Drosophila melanogaster: one gene and its partners. The protein of the gene in region 3 interacts with the protein of the main gene of each other region in a pairwise test. Each region holds a gene or a part of one and is shown on either strand. Other genes may lie near its edges.

Region 1 (4,849 bases), on a different chromosome or scaffold from region 3:
GTTGCACAGCGGCTTGCTGTTGCTGCTGAGCCGCCTGTTGCTGCTGTACTGCCTGCTGCTGTGCTGCCACAGCGTGTGCCACATGCGCGGCTTGCACCTGAGCTTGGACCACGGCCTGGGCTTGCGCTTGGGCCTGCACCTGGGCAGCATGTGCGTGTGCGTGTGCCTGCGCCTGTGCCACGGCAACTAGAGCGGCGTTCTGTAAGAAAATGTTTGGAATCGATTGAATTTATCTCACTTGCCACTGGGAGGGTGTAGTTTCGGGGTCAACCCAAAAAAAATGTATCCTGACTGAGTCAGGTCTCTATGTACCTATCGTGGTAACAAAAAAATTTGCTTAAGGGTTTCAAAAAAACGGGGCTGAACCCCAAATGAAAAAATAGAATTGCAGATTGTAAGCTGCTGAAGTAACAAAAATTGACGAACAAAAATTACTAGATCATATCAAGAATTAAAGTAATCATCTAATTTAAGATTCCCTATTTAAAAATGAGTTTTTAGCCTGCGCTTGATGTAAAAAACGCTTCCTAAGCGTGTATGGAACCGACTACATAGATTTCTAAAACATACTAAGCAAGCTGGCTTCAAACCTGCCCCTATGATCCAATTAAATCAGCCCACCCGCTATAAAGAATTTCACTATTTATCAGTGGGCATGTGAATTGCATTTCAGCTGCTTCCGCTTTACCTTTAAGATACAAAACTAGCACATGTGTTGGCATATCACATTGATGGAGATTACTTTTAGGGCCAAGACAATGCGAAACCTTGCTTTTCCCTTCTATCGAGTTCTCTATGTGTTGAGGTAAAATGTTTTAAATCAAATTAATTAAATTGAAAACCGCCGTTTCATTTGTTTTGTTGCCATTAATTTTTTTTAATTAAAAATTGTACAGACATATATCATACTATATGCTAAAAAAAGTTTTCTTTTCTTTTTAATGTTGTTTCGTATTGTGTGATTCTCGTAATCTGTTTGCTCTCGTACGCTGTGGTCGTCTAAACGTAACTTCCGCTGTCGCAATTTGCGATCTGCGCAGAGTAAATGTATAAAAGTGTCCAGTTTGGAAAAATGGAATTCTGTTAGAATGCTGAATGCATTCTCTTAAAATGCAGTCGAAATTGGGTCAGGTTTTTTTATGTGCAATTACATTTATTCTTTCATTATTTTTCTTTTTTTGGAGGAAATTGTCTTTTTTACACGTCCTCGTTTCAGTCCGTTGTGCTTGTCATTTCCTGTTAATCAGTGGAAGTCGTTTCCGTCACGGTCTGTTTATTTATATTGACTATGGTTTCTATAACTATGATAAGAACTCACTTCCTGGGCCTTCGACATGGCTGCGGAGACGACAATCGAGTTAGCCATGCCACTGCTGCTATTGCTACCCGTGGGCGAGATCCCGGCCAGCGACGGGGGCGGCGGAGTGGTGGGAATCGACGTAGAGGGGCCACCATTGTTGCTGGGACTCTTGCGACTTTGTGGATTCGCCAGTGAAGCCAAAGCGGCCGCCAACCGTGCTTGTATTTTCGGTTGGCGCGCGCGCAATTCTTCCAGACTCAGGTCCTCCTGTGGATGCATAATCTTTGTGGTCACAGCAGCAGCGGAAGTTCCGCTTGCCGCCGGTGGAGCTGGAGGTCGCTGCTGGTGTTGCTGAGCATCTGGCGGACCACTTGGTGGTGCGCTGGATGCGCCACCAGCATGATTGGTGGTAGGCGGAGCACTTATGGTAGCATTACTTTAGCAAAAAGAAGAAATAATTGATTTACGTTAGTTAAAAACAAATTCTTAGGATTAAGCCTAATAATAAGTCATTTGACTTGCTTCACAACTATGTTTAATAGGGGAAAACCATTAAAAATGTGCCAATGTGAACAATTATTTGGAGTAGAAAGTATTTCACCTAAAATACCCCCAAAACTGAATTTACATACGAATCGTTTAAAAAAAAAAGATTATTAACAGGGCTCTACGTCTAACTGCTAGCTTTAGAAAAAAAAATTGGAAGGATTCTTATATGGTCTTCCCCTAACGATGCTAACCTGTACGCTGGAAATGTTGGCTTTTGTTGAGCCATGGCGGCGGCGTGGTGATGATGGGCCGCCGCCGCAGCAGCTGCCGCCGATGTTGTGGCCATGGCGGCTGGAAACAAAGGACGCGGAGGCATCATGTGCGGCATCATGGGCACTGGATACGGAGGCAGTGGCGGCATGTGCTGCATCATGCCCATGCCGTACTGCCCCAGCATGTGCGGTGGCATCATGTTCGGGGGCATCATCATAGGCGGCGGTACACTCATGGCATCTGCAATGAATGTTGTATAGCGATTTTGTATACAATACAGTTTGCTGATCACTTACATTCTACTTTCTTTTTGGCCACCGGTTCATCATCGTCCGAATCAGACTTGCCACCATTCTTCTGACGTTCGTGATCCCTGAGATCCTCGGCGGGAATGCCGTCCATGCCAAAGATTTCGACTTCAATATTTGAGCGATTGGGCAGCGAGTTGGGGACCTTGTCCACCGTTTCCTTGTGCACCTGCATGCAGTGTATGGATAGTCCGGGTCCGGTGTACAACTTCTTGTGGCAGATGTGGCATTTGAAGTGCTTGGCCTTCTGGTGCTGCACAAGGATCTTTTCGTCATCGAACTCACGGTTGCAGTACCTAGTTTTTTGCGTTAAGAGTTAAGGAAAATTCACGGGGATGCGGCGTTGTAGCCAGTATGCATATACATGTGTGTGTGTATCTACCCCCAACCCAATACCATTATATAAATGTGTGTGTATGTGCAGATACAGCGAGCGGCACATGCAGTGAAAAAATATTTATATCTTTGTTTTGCGAAAAGGATACCAGCACCAGGGTTTGGAGGCCTTCTTCTTCTTGCGTCCCATGATCCTAAGGTGGCTTTAAAACACTTAAATGTACAAAATCGATCCGGTAATTGGTAGAAGATAACAATCTGTTGTACTAAAAATTGCTCTGTCGTGGAAAACAAAATGGAGAGCCAGTCAGAGTGACCAGCATATCGATACAAATAAATGAATCTTATCGATATCTTAAACCAATATAATAATTATTATACAAATAAATTGATATGTTCGCCTCAATAGCAAAAGGTAAGAAAATAATTTCACAATGATGACAGTAGAAATAAGAGAACTTTGTTGTCATATTTTTCAAATAACATTAATTCTTACATATGTTTATTCCATTATTATCGATTATGTACCTCAAAAAGCGCGGCCCATAAGATTACTTCACCAGCGCCATCTGCTGGCTAGTAGCGCCTTATTTGGTGTATTTCTAAAAAAATATGCTTTGGTCACTCTTTACCAGCCGGCATTTACCAAAAACAGAATAATGGCAGATAAAAAGGTAAATTAAATAGAATAACTACATTGTGGTGCTTAATCATCAAAATCGTGACTTGTCAGGTGGGTGGCAACAATGACGGTAAGGAGAAGCGCCGCAAGGAGTCCATTCTGGACCTCTCCAAGTACTTGGAGAAACAGATCCGCGTGAAATTCGCGGGCGGCCGCGAGGCATCCGGAATCCTCAAGGGCTACGATGCGCTGCTCAATCTGGTGCTGGACAACACGGTGGAGTATCTGCGCGACTCGGATGAGCCCTACAAACTGACCGAGGAGCAGACCCGCAGCCTGGGACTGGTCGTCTGTCGCGGCACAGCCCTCGTCCTCATTTGTCCGCAAGACGGAGTCGAGAGCATCGCCAATCCGTTTATAACGCAATAGTCCAAGGTTTTGTGGCTGGGATGCGTTCCAGAATGTAGACTAAGTACAAAGCTCTTTTGGAAATCGGTTTAAATATATTTAGCGGAGACATACATACGTATAAATTAGTTCTTAAAATCTAATCAGGCCGCAAAGTACCACGTTTATGAGCCCGCGAAATTGTTTAAGCTTCTCCATAAAATTCAGAGTGTTCCGATTTTAAATTAATGCACTTTATCCTCTTCAGGTATGTTACGAAGTTATCTACGGGTTTGCTTACGGTCAGATTTTGAAAGCTGAATCATCTAAATATGCGTAATCCAATTTATAAATATTAATTTTTCTAAACAATTAAAACCTAAAATTGTATCAATCTTATCCAATTACTTATGGAACGCTCCAAACATTATGGATATATCAAAGCGCCTTGCGCAGAGCCCTATAGTGTCAAGCGGGCTATCACCTTAGTCCAAGCCGAACTCGTTGCGAATCCAGGGATACTGGGCAGGACACTCCATGCAAGTGTAGAAGAATCGATCCTCTTGCAGCACCCGACTACGCACCTTGCACACATTCGGCGTGTTGCAGACCTGCTCGTGGGGATCCAAGTCCTTCGGTTGGCAGTGCCAGGACTCGAATTGGTGCAGCTGGTTGCTGGGCGTGGGATGGCGCATCCACTGAATCGCCTGCTGGTTAGTCACGAAGAACACATCCGGCAGCTTTTGCAGATCGTCGAGGAATTTCTAAATGATCAGGAAGGAATGAAGATCTAGTATTATGGGTAACAATTCGAATATTCACCAGAAATGCATTCAGATAGTCGACTTTCTTGAACCAAGTCGAATGGAAATACAGGCCAAATGGTGCCCTATTGCTGAGGTAGTGCCTCTTGAAGTTGTGCGTGAGCATTCTGTACACATCCTCGCCGCTCAAATGCGGCGGACACGTGTCCACCATGCCGCACATATACTCGCCCACTTCCAGTTGGTTCATAACCAGCTCCCAAATGCCCGGATAACTCCTAGACGGGCAATTCTGATTTACGCCCGTGCAGCTGTGCGGCATCTTGTAGTCCAAGGTGTAGGGCCACAGAGGAGGATTCGAATGCGGCGC
Region 2 (4,770 bases), on a different chromosome or scaffold from region 3:
ATTAAGTTTTAAAAATATCACGTCTGCAGCCCTCGCAGCCAAACTTTCGATAGACGGCGATAGATCGATAGACCAGCGATTTGCACCAACACTGGAAAGCTCAGAGCATTCAAAAACAAACTAATGTGTTTTATAAATAGCTCTTTTTAAATATCGATTAATTGCGATCTTAACTAACTTTCGTTTATTTCTATTAATTATGAACTTACTTCTGTTTTTAAACATCTTTGCTCTTTGCTTGTTTTTCGTGTAAGGCTTTAAATTCACTTAAACAATTTTGCTGGCTTTGTGCGCATCTTCATATATCACTGAAATTGATTGTTATAGGAGTGTCCCATTGAATTAGTTTTGTGTCGATTCAATCCTGGCCCGAAAATGTATGAACAAGCTATGCCCTACATTTTACCCATAGTCTACTTAGGTTTGTTTATATAGTATTCTTTTCAAGTTCGTTATGATAGCTCTTAGAAAATAAGATTTCTGTGAATATCTCCTCCGTATAAAAGAATTTTTATCAATAGTTTGGTAAGCTTTTTTTTCTCTTCTACAAAACCTTTTCGCATGTTTTATTTCACTCGAAACTTATTGCTATTCAAAAAAATGGGTTTTCTAACGCTAGAATTATGTACAGAGTGCATTTGGAAAAAATGATGGGTAGTAAGCCCTAGAAAGCCATGGCTACGTGCTGATGCCCATGATGGATTCGATGGAGAAACTCAGCTTGGGCTTCTTGCCACTGCCGGTGGAGGCAGTGGTGACTGCGGGCGTGGTCATCGCTGGATTTGTGGGCGGGATCGTTAGCGGTATCGTCGGCGGCATCGGGTGATAAATGTGCTGCTCCTGATGAACGGGTGCGCAGGCGGCGGCGGCGGCGGCAACGGTGGCAAAGTACAAAGCGTTACCGCCCAGCGTCGCCTCCATGACATGGTTCAGTTCCGGATCGGCGAATGCCCGCCGTTTGCGCATGCGCTCCATCAATGGCGAGCTGAACGTGGGAAATCGCTGTTTGTATTCTGAAAGAGAACGAACCAAAAGGAATGGTTGAAATTAGTGAGGGTTTTGGTGGGGGCGTTATCACTACAAATTGCCGCGATTCGTTATGAATGGGTATTCCAAATTGAAACAATTTATTATTGGGTAATCCGAGACACGCGTCGCCTGACCAGACAGCCTGGCACCGTTTTTTTTTTTTTGTTTTTTTGTTTCAACTTCGGACCGGTTTCGGGATCTCCACTTATTCGGATGGAACCAGATGGAAAACCCAGAAAGAAGTCAATTGCTGTTGCCACATTTGGCTCTTTTTGTGAGTCGGATGGGTTTTTCCGTTTTTGGTCGCGTCTCAGCTTACCGAATGTGACTCCCCTCAAGTGATTGGAAAATGTGCGTACACTGCACACACACATTTCGAAGCATCCGATTTCAATTGTTTTTCGTCAGTCGAATAATTGCTGTTGTTATTGTTGGGCATCAGTCATTTCCTGTCCACGACCACGACCACGTCCATGGACAGAGGAAAAGAGACGGAAGATGGGCGGCGGGAGACAGGAGACTGGAGACCGGAGAGGATCTCCGATTACGAACGGACCAGACAGTCTGGCACCGTATGGGAAAGCGTGTGAGTAGGGAATGTACTTATCATTTCAGCTGTGTCGTCTACTTTACGACATCTAATAATTTCCAAATTGGAAAGTGTCTATTTGATTGCGGACTCATAGATAGATATCCTTTTTGATATGTACATAAATCCTTATTTATGTAGTCCCATACTAACCTTCCATGGCGGCTGTGATATGCAATGTGGATTGCTGCAAACTGCGTAGTCTCTGCTTGTAGATCCTCTTTTGGGCCATCAGAGCCTGTCGGGTGGCCGAGGATGAAGATGAGTTGCTAACGCAAGATGTGGGATGCGAATGCGAATGTGGATGTGAATGTGCCGGCGGTGGTGAAGTGGAGCTGAGGGAGTCCTCGCCCTCGCTGCTGCTGGAGTTGTTGGCACTGGCCGTTGTTACGCCCGTGGATTTTGTAGATGATGCGGTGGCCTCCAGAGCCTCCATGGTTTGCTGACGTCGCAGGGCCACCTGGGCGGCCATCACCCGCTGGCGATCGACGACCAGTTGGCAATTGGGGCAGCAGCATTCGCGCCAACGGCACAGACGCTTGTGACCCTTGACACAGGAGATGACGCCGTGATTGCGACACCTGGCGCACTTCGGCGTCCGCAGGAGACGTCGCTCCCGCTGGCAAATCCTAACACTGGCGTCCTTGCTCATCCTCGCTTGCTGATCGACTAAAAGGATGTGGAACGGGGCGCGAACATTTAAGCACTGGCAACCGCAGCTACTTGTCGCCGTCAGACTGTCTGGCAGCGTCAAGTGGTTTCCGTCGTCGTCGTCGTCGTTGTGTCCCCAGGGTATCCGACGCCCACGAGGTGTACTAGCATGAGGTACAACACAGCGAGCATGCAAGGGATCGGACTCGGGATCGGTTCCTTGCCTGCCATTGGCTGCTAATCGCTGGCTCTAAATATAGAAGATCCAATGGCCGCACAGATGTCTCGCATCAGCATGCAAAAGATACATTCGACTACAGGAGGAACTCATTGAAAGCGATTTCAAAGATTAGTAATATATACATATATAGCATATATATATAGGTTATGGATCACTTGCTTAATCAATTACTTGGGGCATCTTAAAGAATTTAAGAAGGTAAAAGTATCTGTGAATCTTCTATGGTTCTTTATAGGCATGTTTCACTATACCTTTCCAATCCGTACATCTTTGTTTGGACTCCGTGTTTCGTCAAAGTGCATATTGATTTCTGGCCTGTCTTCGTTTAATATCTTTATTCGTTTATTTGAGTCAATTTCGGTTTACGTGTATAACAATTTGTAGCATTCATTATCTTATATAGCACGTACACACATATATATATATGTATATATATATTTCCGTATAAATACAAATTCAACTCGAGTTTAGCCATATCGTTTCATTAGCTAATAGTACGTAAAAAAAAGAAAAAAAAATTCTCAGCGATTTATATACTAGAAGTTTTTAGGTGAAAGGACTTTCCATTTAATGCCTTTTAAATGCCTTCTTTATATATTTTTTGTGTAAATATATACATATATGCTTATATATACGGTGCAGCGCGTTTCACAAGTAACAATCTTTTAAATTTCGGAACAAATGATGGCCAACTGTTGGCGATTGTCAAATAATTTCGAATTCAGCCAGCTGTTTTTAATTAGGATATGTAATCGAACTTACCGCAAAAAGTTGTCAAATGGGAAATTGTGTTCTTCGAACCGAATGAATAAATGCTATTATCTCACTTCATACAATTGTGAAACGCACTGTCCCTCTGCATACATATATGTATTTTATATCCATTTAGTAAGTGTGATTCAAAAACGTTACTGAGTTCTATTAGAGGATTACATTGATTAAAGCTTGAGCTAGAAATGTGCCAGGTTTTCGATTCGATTGGTTGGTTGGTCAAAATGCAGGTGCGACTAGGAAAGTACTATTCGTGTATTCGAGTGCGTTCTATTATGGTCTCAGGATCATATACATTATGATCATCATATATTATAAGGTTGTAGCGGACAATCGGTTCATGTTAAAACGGGACCAACAACGAACTTTTGTTTAATGTTTGGTAATTATAATTACTTGTGTTTAACATGGAATCATATGGTAAATGCTTGCAAAGTTATTGTCCTTTACTGTTTAAAAAACGTTCTCTAAATTGAAATCTATGTGTGTATTAACGGTGCGTGTATATATATAACATTCGCTTAAAAAAGTTTTGATCCTTGAACCAACTAAATCTAAATTACAAAACACGCGGCCCTACAAAAAATTTGAACGAACACAAATCACAAAAGTACAAACATTACATATGGTACCTATATATCATCAATAATATTATTAGTATTATTATTAATATTTTATATCGACTATGGATTGTAGCTATCGTAAATACTTTGATTTCCTTCGATACGATTCTCCGCTCTTGACACAGACGCACTCTGAATTCACTTCGTTTGCTATTATATCATATCACAATGCTTAAAGGGCTCGCCGCTTCTCGATTCTCGATTATCGATTATCGGTTATCGAGTTTTGTTCTCGATTTCGATTTGGGCTTCAAATTCAACAACGTTTGATTGCCAAACGACGATCTATCTATAGAGTTCTAATATAACAGGCTCACTGGTCGCTAGGCTAAACCATACAGCTCGCGAAATAATTGTATTTCCATTGGCTTTATCAATGCTATCATTATTGATTTTACTCCATTACGATCTCTATCTATCAGTTTTCATTGGATTTACCCAACGAGAATGGAACTTAAAGTGGGAAATTTGAGCTGCCAAGTGGCAGATGATTTGAAATGGTAAAATAATATGAGAGCTCTGAAATGTAGCCAAGTAAGATAAACAGGCCCTTTTTGGGACACACATCTACAAATGTTCTGTTTCCATAAACAAGAATGGAAATAAATATGCTATATAGAAATAATATCTAATAGATAGATAATGCCAGTTTATGCAATTATTTCGCTCGCTGTATGCGACAAATTTCAACAAGTGTGTGGACTCTTTTGTTTTCGTTTTTCAGATCGAGGTTGCATCATCATATAAGATATACTCGGTTCAATAAAAATCGGTTCATAACAATTAGTGCGCTCAAATATGGGTAGCTAGGTTACTAGTTAAGTGGATCGTTTGTCCTTTGGTGCGGGTTTTTAGATTACATAATA
Region 3 (3,458 bases):
GTAGTGTTTTGTGCTGTAAATTTTTTATACGAAGAATGGCATTTTTCAATGTTTCTGCTACGGTCACACCAATTGGATGTTTACAAATTTCGTTTACGAATTAAATAAAAAAAAATATAAATAAATACAGAAACAACTAAGGATGGCCCACTACAAAGGTGCCGCCAGCGAGGCGGGCCGTGCAGCCCAGCTGATGAAGAAGCGGGAGATCCAGCAGCAGGAGATCGAGTTTCGCAAGAAGAAGATCGAGGAGGAGCTCAAGCTGGACAAGATTGAGAACAAGTTTGCCACCCACTACGATGCCGTGGAGCAGCAGCTCAAGTCCTCGACCATTGGTCTGGTCACCCTCGACGAGATGAAGGCCAAGCAGGAGGATATAGTGCGGGAACGGGAGAAGAAGCTCGCCCAGAAGAAGGACGAAAAGGATCGGGAGAAGCAGCGCGCCCTGGAGGCCATTCAGGCGGAGAAGAACAAGCAGAAGCGGCAGATCCAGGCGCTGTCCTTCAACCTGGACGACGACGAGGAGGAGGAGGAGGAGGACGACGAGGATCACGATAAGAAACAGCTGAAGATTAAGCAGGAGGATCAGCCCAAGCCCAAGTGGACGGAGATCAAGGAAGACATTTTGCCCATAAAGAAGAAGAAGATATGCAAGAATCCTGACGTGGACACTTCCTTTCTGCCAGATCGCGAGCGCGAGGAGCAGGAGAACAGACTGCGCGAGCAGCTGCGTCAAGAATGGGTAATGCAGCAGGCGGAGCTGAAGGACGAGGACATCTCCATCACGTTCAGCTACTGGGATGGCTCCGGCCATCGGCGGAACGTGCTGATGAAGAAGGGCAACTCCATCTACCAGTTTCTGCAGAAGTGCCTGGAGCTGCTGCGCAAGGAGTTCATCGAACTGAAGACCGTAATGGCCGACCAGCTGATGTACGTCAAGGAGGATCTGATCCTGCCGCACCACTATTCCTTCTACGACTTTATCGTGACCAAGGCACGCGGCAAATCCGGCCCGCTCTTCCAGTTCGACGTCCACGACGATGTGCGCATGATAAGCGACGCCTCCGTGGAGAAGGAGGAGTCCCATGCCGGAAAGGTACTCCTCCGCTCCTGGTACGAGCGCAACAAGCACATCTTCCCAGCCAGCCGATGGGAGCCCTACGATCCCACCAAGTCCTACGACAAGTACACCATCAAGGACAAGGATAAGAGTAAAAAGTAGTGCTTAGGGCAGTTTCTGCCCGAATAATTGTACAATATAATAATGATTGATTTAATACATCAAAACAAACGAAAAATAACTACAATTTTTATTTGATTTTTCCACCAGATTTACAATCAGTTTAATTAAACTATTATAATAGGCATTGAATGAAATATAAAATATATAACAAATTTATGTTTGCTTAATACAATTTTGAATTCATTAGAAAATGTCATACTTCTCATAAGAATACCCCTAATTATTTAAAATGGCACTGTTAAGAGAACTTGTTGCTAAACAAATTTGGTAGAAATTTTAGTTTATAAACACAGTATAATCAGAGAACATGCAGTTATTCAGCACTTCGTATTGATTGCCATGAAAAAAGAACTGTTAGATTTATATTTTATTTTAATTTTTTAATATTCCAACTGTCATAATAGTCAAAAGAAGTCGGATATGGCGGGAAAAAAGCTAGCCCGCCAGCACCAATAGCAACATTGAATTTTTTGCGCCAGTAAAATTCGCGTCTTTTTATAAAAAGCAAGCGTAATTAATAACAAAAATAAAATAAGTTCCAAGTAAAATGTGAATTCATTTTTCGGATACGTATCGATTTAGTGCCATTTGAGAACCCCGAACCAACGAAATGTACCCGGCGCAACCGGCAAAGGTGGCGTTGGCCGGTCAACCGATATCCGCCGGAAAACCACCACGCCACAGCCCTGTTCAGATGAAGTCTATCCCTTTGCCCGTCTTCGAGCTGCCGGAATACGTGTGCGTGGAGACCAAGTGGGTGACACGCAAGTACGCGATAGAGAATGGCATTCCAGTGAAAGAACTGCATGCCCCGATCACCAATGGAGGCGCTACAGAGTCTCCCAAGAAATCCGTACAGCAGAAGAGACTCAACGAGGTCACTGGAATGTTTGCGAACGAGGCTATGGTGCCGCGCAGAGAGCGCGCCATTCAAACAGAGAATGCGGGCACTAAGGATGCGGGCATTCAATGCCGTCGCGATTCGGAGGAGTGGTATTTACCAGAGGAACGGCCAAAGGATACCGGTTCTGAGGCCTCCAATTCCGACAAATTTCTCACCTACGTGAGCGAGAACACATTCATATTTCCCAACGGCATGATGGAGTGCGCGGTGTGCGGCGATGTGGCCAAAACCTTGCTGGAGCACCAGAGCCACATGACCGCGCACTATGGACCTGGTGCTCTGTGCTTTCGCTGTGGTCAGCGTCTGGACCACCAGAAACAATTGAAGCAACACAGTCTGAGCTGTCCCGCTCTAGCGCCCAGGAAGTCATCGATGCTCTTTAAATGCCCACATCTACTCTGCAACGCCATGAGCCACTCAGAGATGCAGTTGCTCAGGCACCTGAGAAACCATAGCGGCAGGAAGTGCTACAGATGTCTTCAGTGCAAACGTTACTTCAAGACCACCACCTCTCTTTTGGTACACCGAAAAAAAGAACAGAGTTGTGCCAAGGCGAAAGTGGTCGTCCTATTTCGCGAACACAACGGGTTGCCCAATGGAAGAGGTGATCCCAGACGTTGCTCAGTTTGCTTGAAGCGTTTCAGCAGCGAGCGGGTATGCCTGCGGCACCGGAGACAGTGCATCCTTGGCCATTTTAGACGGCTGTCCAGGGTCCTCAAGAAGGAGCTATGAACAGCGTATAGAAATCTTGACCTAGCTGGTATTTATTAGTACATAGAAATCGATAACAATAAAGCGAATAGATCCTACGAAGCCTGGACGCCGTGAGCCTTTTTCAGTCCCTGGAACAGCATCAGTTTCTCCCGGTTAACTTCCTTAAGCGTCTGCACCGCCAGCTCCAGTTGCACCTTCTTCAGCGCATGTTCGCTGGCGATGTACTGCTCAATGAACTTCAGGCTGATCTCATCGGCGGCGAAATCGTGCTCCGTCTTGCCAATGGCCGTATGGATCTCCTGCTCAATGTTCTGCTTATTGTCATGTCGTCGGAAGACGCTTCTTAGCTCCGCCAGGGCACTTTCCGCCGGCGTGGCATGCAGTTTGCCCAGTTCGGTCAGCGTTGCCTGATACTCCACTGGGATGTTGTGTAGCTTGTAGCTCAGAGCAATCAGCTCCACGGCATTGTGCAGATAATCCCGACGGATCATGTCATACAGCAGGTCGTCGATGCAGCGGTGCCAAGCGTAGAAGAAGGCCATGGGTCCAAAGTGGCGGGTGGAGCGCAGAAGATCGAACTCCTTGGACTCGTTGAGA
Region 4 (6,248 bases), about 13 Mb from region 3:
GTGCACAGGAAACTTCAAAGCAAGGTGGAGGCACTTCGAATCCTGCGCCAGGAGCTGGAACAGTTTCGCGTGGAGCGAGACCAGTACAAGCTGGTGGCGGAGACCCTGCAGCTGCGCTACTCCGCGCTGAAGAGTAATAGCGAACTTCTGGCTGTCGGTGGATGTGGAGCCCTCAGCGAGAACTCCAGCCTGGCAGCCCTGCTCCACGAGACGCGCGAGCAGAACCTAAAGCTCAGCACCGAAGTGGAAGCCCTGAGGCAGCGGCTCAACGAGCTGCATGGCGACATGGAACTACTCCGGGAGACGGAGGCCAGCAACAAGTCGCGGGTACAGGCAATGGCCAGCGAGAATGCCGCTCGCAACAAGGAGGAGCTGCAGTGGCGTCGTGAGCGGGCAAACTTTATCTGCCACCTGGAGGGCCTCAAAAAAAGGAATGCCCAGCTGGCCTTCGACCTGAAGGCGGTGATCGATGAGAAGGAGGAGCTGATAACCGAGCGGGATGCCTACAAGTGCAAGGCACACCGCCTAAATCATGAACTCTTTGTGGCCCTCAGGGCGAAGAAAACGCATCCAAGGGTGAGTTAACTGATGCTATATAGTACTTACTTGATAGTTATTGATTTTCCAGCTCCTGGACATCGATGGTGTTTTGCTGGAGAACAAGTACCTGCATGAACGTGTGAAGATCCAAGACAGCGAACTGGAGCTCACCAAACAGAGCATCAATAAGTACAAGGTACTGGTATTAGTTAAGACTTATTACCATTTTATTTATTTATATTTAAATCATTCAGACAATGTTGGATGCAAAACGAAAGAAGGGAATTGTAAAACTTGGCGGTGGGAGCACAAATGAGGACACCATTCTAAGCCCCCGGCAAGGTGAGTAATTATATGGTGGCCACCTCTTTCATGCCTTTCTAATTTGTTTGTACCCTAGTGAAAACAATCCTCGAGAGTGGCATTGAGCTGCCTCAGAAAACCGAGAGCTTAAGCGATCTAAAATCCTTGTGTCTGGCCCTGCTGGACAATCTCAACGACAAGAACTTGGCCCTGACGCACCAAAAGAAGACCAACAAGTAGGAAAATCCAGCTGAAAGTTGATATATATTTCATAAACCCATATTTCCTGCAGAATACTGGCTGGCAAAATGACGGAGCTGGAGCAGCGGTGGCAACAACTCCTCTCCGGAAACGATGACAACGCAGAGGAGCAGGAGGAGGACGTGGAATATGGTTATGCGCCTTCGCAGCTGCTCCTCAATGGCTATTGTGCCGCCATGGTAGATGACGCCGACATCAGCAGCACTCCGTCCATTGAGCCAGATAACGAAGGCGTCGCCATTACAGCGGATCATGAAGATTCAAAGAAGCACAAGTCCGTTGAGGCTCTGCATTCCGACGATGGAATGTCCTCGCTTTCAACGGAGTCCGTGGATTCGTCTGTGTACGGTGCAGATGTGCAGCCCGATGACTTCCAAAAGTCTTCATCCGCCACAACAGATTCGGGCAACTGTGGATTGAGCAGCCGCTGCAACGGCACGCCACGAATATCCAGTGCAGTGGCACGGGAACGTATGGAGGATCTGAAGGACCTGCCGCCTCACCTGGCCACTCTGGTCCAGAAAGCACTTCACGATCTGGACATGCGGGACTACGAGGCTATGGTGACGATACGAGCAGAGAATCTGGCGGCTATTCCTTAGAGAAAAACTAGTTCAATTGAGGACTCCCAAAGAAATGGATGAAACCATATCTCAGTGTTGACAAAAGATATAATACATATATATATTACCGCAACAGCGTACAATAAAACCAGATTATATAAAATAAATCACTTTATTCAATCGATATTGCGTTGAAACTGGATATGTACAATAACTATAGCATACAGTTTTAAAAGACGCGCCCAAGTTATCGATAAATAATATGCGGAGTGTTGCATACCGTTAGCATAAACACACTCTCACACACTCTTATTTCTGGGTATACATTTTCTGATAAGAATGCAATAAATATCCCGACTGGTTGGAGTAATTTCGAGTTTTTGAATTAAAAATGCCTTAAGAAAAGTTTTTAATGAGCCATGTAGAGTTAACACCAGTGCCACATATCCTGGGAATGGAGCACCAATCAAAAGTCATCATCAAGCGGCCCAAATCAGGCCAATTCTAGTCGGAAAGTCGTTGCAGCCGCCCATTGCCACCATGTCGAATGATGTGCAGGTCGCCCGGGTGGCCAAGATAGCTACCGATGTGCCGCGTCGCAGTGGCAAGCAGCGTGACTCCAGCGGATTCCAGGGCAAGCACTCCGGCAGCGCGGCTGGCGAGGATTTCGAGTACGTCTTCGGTAGCATTTCGCCGCGCGGTGGAGGACCCGGTGGCAGGCACTTGGTGGGATCCTCCGACCTGGACTCTCCGGAGCACACGCAGCGGGACACCACCGAGAGTGACAACAACATATCCAGCTGCTCCACGCTAGACATTGTCAACAAAGTGAGTAATGATGCCCGCACTGAGAGAAATAACTAGATCTTAAATCAAAAAAATCAATATATTAATTTGCAATGATACATTGGTACTAAACATGATCAAGTTCATTTTAAATTAATTTTTAAAATGATCACAAAATATTTAAAAATACCTCATTATTGTGTAGTTTAAAATAAGAAACGCAGAATTTTCAATCATTGGTTTTCAAAGTGTTTCGGGCTTTAAATTCGGTTGGCGTCCAGTGCGCAGATGCGTGTGGAAGGCTGAGGGTCAAGTTGCAGCGGCGGAGAGCGCGGATGCATCCGCGGTCGGATGACGACGTAATCGCCAGTCAAAATTTTCCACTGGACCATGATTTCGGAGCAACTGCTTCCGCGCAGCTTGAGCTGCCTGTGCTGCAGCGATACGCCATCGGTGCCCAACGACAAGAGACGCAGTTGGGAGTATACGCTGATGGCTCATCCTCTGGCCAGACGGCCCATAAACGTGATGACCCCAAGAATAACCACTTAGAAAGCTCTAATCCGCCTCTTTTCTTTTGATTCACCTCCAGGTTGAGCAACTGTCGGTACAACAGCTAGAAAACCGGGTGCGGGATCTAACGCAGCGTCTGCAGCAGGCGGAAAGACAGCTCACTGAGAGCAACACAGAGCGGGAAATATGCCACAAGCGCTTGGAGGTTGTCAGCCAGGCCCACGAGTGTCGCATCACAGAGATGCACTGTGTCATCGCCGAGTTAAGCAAGAAATTGCGCAGTAAGCAGGACCACGTTATCATGGAGGAGCAGGAGCCCGACGGCAGCGGTGCGTAGCAGTTTCAAATGAGGGAAACAAACCCCTAACCGACAGTCTTGTTTTCAGAACTCAGCTTTCAGGAGGGTTCAGTGTACAATTCCGAGCTTAACCTCACCAATCCTGATGCCGAATGTCAAACAGAACCACTGGAAGACTTCGAGGGCGCCTGCAGTACCACCAGCGTGGGTAACGTTGCCCACAAACCGCCGGAACTGAGCCATAAGGGACAAGTGGAGGCACTGCAGGAGGAAGTTCTGCACTTGAGAGCTCGAATCGCCCTCCTCCAGTCCGAGATTTCCACCAAGGATGCTGCTGTGGTCGAGGAACAGACCAAAGTCGCCTTCGACTGCGAATCGGAAGTCAACGAGTGCGGACAGCGACTGAATGATTTGAATGGTAATATAAATAATCCTGATGATAAAAGAATGGTTACACATTTAGATGCTTTCAGTTTGCACTTCCTTGACAAGTCCGCAAAAACGCATTCCAGCGGTACCGAAAATGGCTGAACGGGTTAAGTTGCGGTGCGCCAGCAAACATGAATCCGGAGAAGATCCATCCCAAGATACTTCATTGAGCAACGAGGTGTGTTGACCAAAACTTTATTCAGAGAATACATTTCAACCCATACAACCCATAATTTTAAGCAAATTAATCTGGTCGAACATTTGGTGTCGGAGCTAAAGGAGCAAAATCTATATATGGAGAACTTTATGGAGCCCCTACATTTGAGCAAAGACTTGGAGCGACTGCAACGACGTGTTGAACAATTGGAGATGCGAAACACCATGCTGGCACTGACGCTAGACGAATGCAAGGAGCACACTGAGCATCTGTATCTGCTATGCGGAAAGTACGAGTCCAATGCGGTTGCTCTTCAGTTGGCGCTTAATTGCAGTGATCGCGCCATCGAGGCCTACGACGTAATGTTGGCTCTGCTCGAAAGCAAGTAAGTACAATCACCATAAGACGCGGGTTGTTGTCCCTATTTCACAATTCATCACTTCCAGGTTGGCACTGCTGGGGGAGAAATCAGTGGCAGCGGAAGAGAGTCGACGATCGGTGGAGGCGGTGGCCAGGCACCTGCTAGCCCGTTTGGATAGCGAGAAAAACGTTTGTGAGAACAGCCTGGGACCGTGGCAACACAACATCAACCTGGGCCCAGAGGATGCCCCAAAAACTGGCCGCCCGTGGTGTGCCGACGACGACAACCGCCTGCGTTACCACGTCTCCAAGCTGAAGGGACGTCGTTCCAATGTCCAGCATACCATTGTCAGTTTGGAATCACCCTTCAGCGACATATACGAAAGAAAGCGCCTGGCTTTGGAAAAGGAGCACGAACTTCGGAGCGCGGACAAGAAGTCACCCATTGACTTGGAGACAGCAGTGATTATGCAAGAAATACTCGAGCTGCGGGATTCGAATTTGCAGCTGAAGACAAAAATGGAAGAGGCCGAGCAGGAACGGCAGAACGCCAACGAACGAGTGGGCATACTCCACGAAGCCCTAAAGCAGCTACAGGCAAACAACCGGGTCTCGTATTCGGAGGCGGAGCATGCGGCTCTCACAGAGCAGCAGTTGGTGGAGGCCTTAACTCGAGAAACGGAGCTCAAGGGTCGCATACAGACGCTATTGGCAAATGTAACAGCTTCGCAGAAGGCCTTCGACGAAAAATACGAGCAACTGCATCAGAACGTGCGTGAACTGCAGAAATCCAACCAGTAAGATTCGTTTTATTTTGACTGTTTCATACATAATTTCTTCATATTTCCCTTTTAGCAATCTGGGCCAAATGTTAGATCACACCAAGCGCAAGTACCAGCTGCGGGTGAGGAAGCTAGAGCAGAAGATTGTTGACCTGCGGCTGGACTACGAGCAAGGCCATAACCATGTTCCTGAGACTACTCTGTAGGAAACGCATGACGACCTTCCAGGAGGACTGAGCAACTGGGCGTGGAGCGGGCGCGCTTGTCACATATCCCGCAAAAGATCTTTCCCTCTCGATCATATCGCTTATTTTACCTTTAATGCAATGACCACCCGCCCAGCAGTCGCCGTGGATCCGCCATGACCAAGACAGTATCACGAATGTGCCATGCGACTTAATTGCAGTCGGCTGGGGCTTGGGCGGTGTCCCTGCCTCGCAGATAAGGCTGCAGTAACTACATACTCAAATACATACATATTCAGAGGTGCCATGAGCAAGGCTCCACCAACCTATCCATAGATCCGTGGGATTGGAGCATCCGTCTATGGGCCACAAGCAATTACATATACACACATACGAATAGACAAACTAAGGAGTTATTCAAGACGCATACACGGGATCCTATATTTATACAATGTATTCGCATTTTGCTTGTTATATGATTCAATATGTATTTAAAACTGTACAAAATATAAAACGTCTACTAAAACTCGATAAAATTCACGAATTTGAAATTGGCTCCAATAATTAATCGATAAGCTAATGAAACTAACTTAAGCATCCATCACCATTTCGTGTAGTGTTGCAAATCACCAGAATCAAGTATATGAGTACTTGTGAAATAAAAATGTTTTGAAAATTTAACTTAATTTACTTAAAATGAGTGCCACAGATGCATCTACAGCCGATAGTGGCGCTAAACGAAAATCTTCTGAAGATATCACACACAATTGCAACGCAAATTTTGGCGCAGAAAACGGCCTAAGAAAGCGCGTAAAATCGGAGGAGCCTGTGGCGTCCATTAAAGATGAAACAAATCCTGAAGTTCCTATGAAAATAAAAGCTGAGCCAGTGGAGAATGCAGATGAGCCCACAAGCACTACTCCTGCGATCAAGATTAAAGCCGAACCAGCGGACAATGGAAACTCACCTGCAGCTGCGATGGTAAAAACCGAGCCCACTAATAGCAATGCACAGGACGCCGCCGACGAGTCTACCGTATCTTCAAGCAGTATTAGGACTTCTTGTCGCTTC

What was found.
Region 1: the proteins of Boh1 (region 3) and BuGZ interact in a two-hybrid assay, tested with the Drosophila melanogaster proteins (one large-scale study listed by BioGRID).
Region 2: the proteins of Boh1 (region 3) and dmrt11E interact in a two-hybrid assay, tested with the Drosophila melanogaster proteins (one large-scale study listed by BioGRID).
Region 4: the proteins of Boh1 (region 3) and CG34404 interact in a two-hybrid assay, tested with the Drosophila melanogaster proteins (one large-scale study listed by BioGRID).

What each region holds. Positions count from the first base shown.
Region 1 is NT_033779.5:16,741,577-16,746,425, reverse strand, and holds the start of BuGZ (Bub3 interacting GLEBS and zinc finger domain protein), read right to left. Parts: upstream 3,022-4,849; 5' UTR 2,897-3,021; coding exon 2,862-2,896; coding exon of another isoform or gene 2,856-2,861; intron 2,667-2,855; coding exon 2,359-2,666; intron 2,303-2,358; coding exon 2,041-2,302; intron 1,737-2,040; coding exon 1,319-1,736; coding exon of another isoform or gene 1,274-1,318; exon of another isoform or gene 861-1,273; intron 200-860; coding exon 1-199. Other genes in the region: LSm7 (uncharacterized protein), read left to right, coding at 3,366-3,380, 3,440-3,757; ChLD3 (chitin and LDLR binding deacetylase 3), read right to left, coding at 4,201-4,479, 4,538-4,849.
Region 2 is NC_004354.4:13,366,242-13,371,011, reverse strand, and holds dmrt11E (doublesex-Mab related 11E), read right to left. Parts: upstream 2,822-4,770; 5' UTR 2,813-2,821; coding exon 2,762-2,812; intron 2,520-2,761; coding exon 1,772-2,519; intron 1,014-1,771; coding exon 679-1,013; 3' UTR 540-678; downstream 1-539. Other genes in the region: CG1640 (uncharacterized protein), read right to left, coding at 210-225.
Region 3 is NT_033777.3:27,917,679-27,921,136, reverse strand, and holds Boh1 (buddy of Hmr 1), read left to right. Parts: upstream 1-1,676; 5' UTR 1,677-1,853; coding exon 1,854-2,879; 3' UTR 2,880-2,953; downstream 2,954-3,458. Other genes in the region: CG12259 (uncharacterized protein), read left to right, coding at 143-1,222; mRpS22 (mitochondrial ribosomal protein S22), read right to left, coding at 2,954-3,458.
Region 4 is NT_033777.3:15,363,394-15,369,641, reverse strand, and holds CG34404 (uncharacterized protein), read left to right. Parts: upstream 1-1,976; 5' UTR 1,977-2,207; coding exon 2,208-2,495; intron 2,496-2,819; exon of another isoform or gene 2,820-2,843; coding exon of another isoform or gene 2,844-2,978; exon of another isoform or gene 2,979-3,045; coding exon 3,046-3,295; intron 3,296-3,352; coding exon 3,353-3,682; intron 3,683-3,737; coding exon 3,738-3,871; intron 3,872-3,933; coding exon 3,934-4,235; intron 4,236-4,296; coding exon 4,297-5,007; intron 5,008-5,065; coding exon 5,066-5,198; 3' UTR 5,199-5,709; downstream 5,710-6,248. Other genes in the region: CG14868 (uncharacterized protein), read left to right, coding at 1-576, 629-736, 795-882, 941-1,079, 1,136-1,706; CG6171 (uncharacterized protein), read left to right, coding at 5,874-6,248.